Xenopus tropicalis: one gene and its partner. The protein of the gene in region 1 binds, or shares a complex with, the protein of each later gene. Links are inferred from orthologs where the notes say so. Each region holds a gene or a part of one and is shown on either strand. Other genes may lie near its edges. The genes, in order: pola1 and pola2.

Evidence for each region.
Region 2: the proteins of pola1 (region 1) and pola2 are in contact, whole or in part, in a cryo-EM structure (PDB 8G99), measured with the Xenopus laevis proteins. The link is inferred for Xenopus tropicalis from reciprocal best matches to the Homo sapiens genes POLA1 and POLA2. Residues at the interface, in NP_001082055.1 of Xenopus laevis: Gln548, Lys551, His553, Gln554, Asn555, Phe642, Glu645, Val646, Gln649, Asn652, Leu673, Gly675, Arg676, Phe679, Lys1137, Asp1141, Pro1143, Asp1144, Ile1321, Gln1322, His1324, Asn1325, Lys1326, Leu1328, Leu1329, Arg1332, Ile1335, Lys1336, Tyr1338, Tyr1339; in XP_018112289.1 of Xenopus laevis: Met280, Tyr281, Lys282, Phe283, Met284, Phe285, Gln286, Lys287, Leu288, Met289, Ile291, Arg292, Val295, Ser296, Ile299, Glu314, Thr316, Leu320, Pro321, Gln323, Glu324, Thr325, Val326, Gln331, Gly333, Cys334, Asp335, Ser336, Asn337, Gly338.

The regions. Positions count from the first base shown.
Region 1 is NC_030678.2:40,737,050-40,740,124, reverse strand, and holds the end of pola1 (DNA polymerase alpha catalytic subunit), read left to right. Parts: intron 1-2,205; coding exon 2,206-2,375; 3' UTR 2,376-2,390; downstream 2,391-3,075. UniProt on the Homo sapiens protein: Catalytic subunit of the DNA polymerase alpha complex (also known as the alpha DNA polymerase-primase complex) which plays an essential role in the initiation of DNA synthesis.
Region 2 is NC_030680.2:31,682,901-31,686,732, forward strand, and holds part of pola2 (DNA polymerase alpha subunit B), read left to right. Parts: intron 1-2,008; coding exon 2,009-2,117; intron 2,118-3,151; coding exon 3,152-3,258; intron 3,259-3,832. UniProt on the Homo sapiens protein: Accessory subunit of the DNA polymerase alpha complex (also known as the alpha DNA polymerase-primase complex) which plays an essential role in the initiation of DNA synthesis.

The DNA of each region.
Region 1 (3,075 bases):
TGTTCATCATTAATCCTATAACCATATGAAATGTTCACTTCATTTTTATGGGGGGTGGGGGATGCTATTTAATTTTCAATTGAAATCTTCATAATTTTTAAAATGCAATTTAAATTATATAAGGGGGATCAAATATTTTTCTAATGAACTCTTTTCATCAGATATCGCTTTTTATATAATGACCCTTGCCAGGTAGGTGTATAGATCCTCAAAATATGATTTTCAAATACCACCAATAAGGTGCTAAACCAATGGTATTTTACATAGTTTATCAGTTATTCAGTATGGAGAACAAGCCATAGAACCCTATACAGTCCTGTCTGGGAAGTCAGAAGCAAATATAAGCATTGCCATAAATAAATGGGATTAGTAGTACATGTTAGGCTGATACAACACTAGGAGATTAGTCAACTGCATTGATTCTCCTCTACCATGGATGACTAAATGCTTTCCCCCCTGCAAGCAGCGATTAACATTATTGCCAGTGGGAAATCATTTTCAGGAGACGTGCTACCCATGGTTGCACAGATTTATTACTTGGGACAAATCTCCTTATGTGCCGCAGCCTTAAAGGTAAGCAAACTAATTCATTCCAGTTATAAGAAAAGGCCATAGTACATGGAATGCTACTCTTGCAAAACATACCCTTATTAAAGTCCTCTTATCGTTGGCAGCAAACATAGTGTACATCAATGCAAGAAAACCCATAGTTTATGTACATAGTTAAACAGGGTTAAAAAAGATCAAAGTTCAACCTTTCCAAGCGAACCCCAGTGTGCGCAAACAGACCCATACCGACCTACACATACATAACTATATACGCTCACATACATAAACTATATATCACAATATCCTTGGATATTCTGCTTGTTCAAGAAATCAAGCAACTTTTTTATGGAAAACTCTCATTGATTTCTACATGACTTCAACAGCTTTTAGATGGTGTATTTTTACATTTGCGTTTCTCATGGTTTTGATGCATAAATGGTAAAGAAATTCCCAAAAAAGTGAATCCTGGGAAAAAAATACTAACCTAAGTAAATGCCCCCCTAAGTAGACCACATACACTGCCATTTCAGAGTTAGGGTTCCTGCTCACCTTCTCATTAAAGGCAATTAAATTGTTTCCTTTGACAGTACATCTGTTATTGTGGTTTCTGCAGAACAATATGCATTGGTGGCATTTTGGTTAGAACATATTCTGTTCCACGTTAGAGCTTTTTAGTGGGTTTAGACTGATTTTGGCATGGTTCCCTATGAATTAAACCAAGCTCAGTTGTTTTTATTAGAAATTGACATTTCAAACTAATCAAAAGATTTTATGCTTCAGCCATTTATATATGGTTTAGATTAAAAGCTATGTAGTTCAGTTCATATTACAAATAATAATTTGCCATTTGAGACTAGCAGCAGAAAGGTAGCTCTTTAGCTATATGTTGAAAGGAGAAATCCATAATGTGTAAAGAAATAAGAGTTTCCATATCTAGAATTCATCCCCTTTCATTTGCCCCTAAACAAATACACTCATGTTGCTCTTCACTAATACTACATAAAGAAGATTCTTCAAAGAGAGATTGGCAGCTTTAATTTATTTGATGTGTGCAATCACAGTCCATGTTAAATTCAAACCCGCTTGTCCAATCAAGGATTCCACATAGAAGGGAGTAACAAGCATGCTGCACACTATAATAAAGAAATCTGTTGATTGAAAACAGTTTGTAGGTTTTGGAAATGATAGGGGATGTAATTGGTAAGAAAGAAAAGGACAGGGCTTGATAAATAATGGGAAATTGAGCATATTTTTTCCACTGATAATACTAACTCAATTTAGTAATATGTTGGGGTTGAATTTGTACATACCTTTCCTTTAACTTTACAAACTGGTCATTATGTCTGCAACATTATGGGTAAATTGGCATTGCTGAAAAATTGCTTTCAGGTTTCATAATGTATCTATCACTTGATATGGAGAAGGAAATATTAAATATTATAAGGTATGGGAAAGCAAGACTAGTTTAATCCAGTGCAATGTTGGAGTTTGCTGGAGTATGTGTGAATATAATGTTTCTGGTTATGTGGAATACTTCTGTAATATTGCTGGTTATCCTGGGCCTTCCCAGAAGATCTCATGAATATTCTTTGTTTTTTTTTTATACATATTCACTCTGGGCTTTCCAACTCAAATATTTTATAAATCTTTTCACAGTTATGGAAGATGATCCTGGATGTTTATGCAACTTACTGGTTGGTCCTGAAATATCAATCTTTTCTGGCGCTCTTATGATAAGAATGACTTTGGAAAAAACATTACTGACTCAAATAGTGAGCCTTAGACATGCGCTGCATTGCTTTTTCTGCACCTTTACAAATCTGTAACCACATAGAATTTAGCCCATATGAACAGGAATTTGACTTTTAGTGCTTGCAGATGAAAAATCACATTAAACAATGGGAAAAATTCTTTATACACGAAACTCTTGCCTAACTGTCAGGAGACATGTCAGGAATCCAAAATTAGGAAAGGTAAAAATGAAGCTTTATCAGAAAGGTCTATGTAAATACAACCATAAGCACTCACAAAAGTCCTCTATTAAATGAAACGCAAGATTTCTTGACTCCTTTTTTGTGAACATGTTCTTTCATATCAGACACCTCTCAGAAAAAAACCTTCATTCCTGAGGCTGGAGTCTGTGCAGCTTTCTCTTCTCTTTCTTCTACTGCTAACCCCTCCCATAAGAATTATCCCACACTAACTTAGGAATGTGTGATCTGAGCTACACAGACTGAGCTAAAATGGCAGCTGCAATCTTAAACAAACAGAGGGAGCTTCTAAGGCTCTTTATAAATATAGTGTTCTAGCTTGCACGAATGGGGCTAATCTACTGGCAGTAAAATGCCAAAATGACTTTCCTTCGCCTTTAAATATCAGCACCATAGTATTTTTTAATTGCTACTATATACATACAGTATGTGTAGTAAAGGATTAATTCATGCCTCCAAGTATAAGAACATAAAGACACACATGCGTCTCTGTCTCTCTTTGTTCTGCATACACACATGTATATTTAGAAGGCAG
Region 2 (3,832 bases), on another chromosome or scaffold:
GTGGTCACGCGAAAGATTGTTCCCAAACTCCACTGACGTTCAGGGCTGAATCGTAAAACATGAAGGTAGAAAAAATAAAAATTTTACCTCCACCTGCCGATTCAGCCCTAAACGTAGATTTTGCTCAAGATCAAAATCTTTTAACCTGGCCAATTGACGAGACGGCCAATATCCACAGCCTTTTGCAATATAGGTCGCCTCTTCCAGCCATACATGCACCGAATATTGTACGAAATGAGGTTTTGTACGATAATATCGGTGCGTGTATTGCCGGCTTAATACTTGTAAAGAAACAAGACCTTACAAATTCTATGTGTTGCAGTGCGTTTCAAAGGCACAATGATCTAGACATGCAACGAAGTGGAAGGGGGGGAAGAAAGTTGAGATGGGGAGTTCACTTCAGCTTTATTATCAGGCAAAAACACACGTAGAGGGAAGCAAGGAGGGGGGGTTAGACCTCTTCTTCCTTAGGGCTGTCACGGTGAAGTAGTCTTTTAAGAAGAGGGAAAGTTACAATCACTGGTGATGACAAAATGTGATTGTGATTGTAATCGCTTACCTGATTACCTGATTCAGATTATATTATGAAGACCTTTTAAATGGTAGCTGAACCAGTTGTGTTAAGCAAAAGCAACCACATGAGCCATACACAAATGTTGTGGTTTCCTTGCCTGCCTCTCGCTGACAGATGCTAAACTAGAAAACAGAAGAAAAGAATAGTAAAGCATACCCAATAAACATTCAAATAGGACCTAACATAGTTTACCAGAAGGGAACTCAACTTGCTAATCACGTAAATAGCATTTTTTTCACCCCTTTGATAAATAGTTAAAGCCCCAAATGTAAAATGTTGCCCTTTAGACTTTTAGTGCTTGGTGCGTTTTTACAGGCCAAGCCATCTAATTATCAGCAGCAAATTTTCTTTGTCGCATACTAGTGCTGTAGTGTGTAGGGGGGAAGTAAGGTTTGGCAGTAAAGGCTTGGCCATGCACTACCTACTCTGATGCAATAATTTTACAGTATCAGAATGTAGGTAGGGCACTGCTAGATACATTTACCTGGGACATGTTCCTAAAACTGGGGGTTAACCCTCAAAATTGTGCCAGCCTCCATGTTGCCTCTGTGAGCTGAGTAGCCAGAAACCACTACAAAGAACCTTGTGTGCAATTGCCAGAAGAGTGCTGCATGGTCAAAATTCTGCAGGGACCTAGAGAGTGGATTTCTGATTAGATCTCTGGCCACTGTTTGCCTAAATCCTCTTATAAATAGTTATGAAACTGTACATAAATCTGTTTTTCTTTGTGCGTACGTGAAAGCTGAACTGGATTATAAATGAGGAAAACAATGTTAATCTGAAACTGATGTCAGAGCTAACTGCATAAACGTGAACAGGAATACATAATATCCATGCAGCTGCATGGAATCCCAGGCATTGGGGATCAGTCCTCAGCACAGCTAGAGAGTTTGTACTGAATAGAGCAGGGATCCCCAACCTTTGCTTACTCGTGAGCCACAATCAAATGTAAAAAGACTTGGAGAGCAACAAAAGCATCATAACAGTTCATGGAGGTACCAAATAAGGCTAAGATTGGATATTAGGTAGCCTCTATGAACACTATCAGCTTACAGGAGGCTTTATTTGGCAGTAAATCTTGTTTTTATTAAACCACAACTTGCCACCAAGTCAGGAATTCAAAAATAACTACCTGGTTTGGGGACACTGAGAGCAACATCCAAGGGGTTGGTGAGCAACATGTTGCTCACGAGCTACTGGTTGGGGATCATTGGAATAGAGCATGCATATTGTTTGGTAACCAAAAAGAAGAGACTATGTTTATAATGACAGACATACATTCAACAATGTAAGCCATGGTTAGCCAGAGTTTGGAACTGAAATTTTGATATCACTGCAGATCTAATGCCTGACCATGCTTCAGCAAGTTAATAAGTAAAAAGAAGCTAAACAATTGTTTGAAGGTGATTTCTCATACTTCTCATTACTTTTCAGTTCGGGGTGCCATCTGGTCTTCGTTCCATCTCTCAGAGATGTTCATCATGATCCTGTCTATCCTCAGCCACCATTCAGCTGTTTTGAACCGGCCAAAGAAGACAAGGACGTAAGCTCTGTTCTGTGACCTTTTAATAGTTTCATTTTATACATGGGCCAACCCTGTATAATACCTTGACCGACCAATACTATATAATGTATGTCAAGTACAGACTGGCAATCTGTAGATTTTGACAAGTGGCAGGGAGGGGCTGCTGTAAGATGCCAGAGACAGTAACTAAAGCTGGCCATACACGCACCGATAATATCGTACGAAACCTATGTTGGCCACAGCAGAAACTTTTTAAACCTGCACAATCCATGAACCTGGCATAAATATACCAAAAATATTTTAGCAAATAGAATCTGAGCCTTTCAGCATGATTCTGATTTGGCCAAATTCAAGTGCCTGGCCAAACTAAATCTGAACCCTAAAAGTTTTGGTCACACAATTAAAAAAAAAAAATTCCTACGTGCACTTTATTCTGGGTGCTAAATTGCATGTGCAAATGAGGATATGAATTTGGTTTGGGTTTGGATTTACCCCAGTCCTGCATTAAACATTTGGGATTCAGGCAAATCCCAAAAATAAGAATTCTGTGCATCTCTAATGTTGAGGTAGTTGGAGGCTAGATTATTGGACCTGCCTGATAGTGATGTGCGGGTCAGGGGGGTTTGAGCCAACCTCCCCACATCAACTGCTGGTTGCGGGCGGGTTCAGGTTCGCTTGCCCTCCCTGCCAACAACCTAACACTGCCAGCTTCCTCTTCTGGCTCTCTAATTTATAGGCGTGCTTCCGGCAAGCTCCGCCCCTTTTGGCCGTCACTGCGGGCAGACGCGGGTCTATTAATAGATGGAGGAAGCCAGTTCAGTTTGGGAACGGGCGAGTTAGGGTCAGGTGCGAGTCGAGTATTTCTCGACCTGCACATCACTACTGCCTGATTTGGTCTACAACATGGATTAGTTGGTCCCTGGCCCAATAAACGAATTTTAACAGGAGCCTAAGCTGTTAGTAGGCTTACTGCTTATATCACCATTTTATCTCTTTTGTCCGTGTTTTTATTTTTACAACTCAGTTGTGTGTTTGTTTGATTTCATTTTCAGAGGGTCCATTTTGTTGCCGATCCCTGCACGTTGTCTGTCAATGGTGTTATCTTAGGCATAACCTCTACAGACTTGCTCTTTCATATGGGTGCAGAGGAAATAAGCAGGTAATGTGATTGCTAGGTCAGTCCCTTTGAGCTACAAAGCAAAATTAAACTTTTCAAACAATATTAGCTGGAACTGCCTAACAACTAAAGCTGGCCATACGGTTAAAGAGGCCCCCCAACCTCGGTAAAAATAGAATTCTAAGCAACTTTTTAAATATACATTAAATAGTTTCAGTGGTTTTATTGATATGTGTACATTTGCTACTGAAAGTAGCAAAATGAATCTGTCTGTTTACATTTTCTGCACTCCTGAAACAGTGCTACAAGCCAGCTGGTAAAAGCTGATTACAAAACCTAGAGGAGATCTGACCCCTGTTACATTAAAAGCCAGAACCAGAGAATACTGATTTCATATGCAACAACATATATCTTTAATATGATAGAAAATCTTTAATAAATTAATATTGTAAAGGTGCTTAGAATTTTCTTTCATTGTGCAAAAAAAAAAAAATATATATATTTTTAGTGGAGGACCCGTTTAAAGATGCATATGTTTGGCTCGGTTGCCAGTCAAGTGGATTTTGGTCTGATTTAGCTACTGTTTGTGCTGGTTGAGCTGATTAGGAGTCAATGA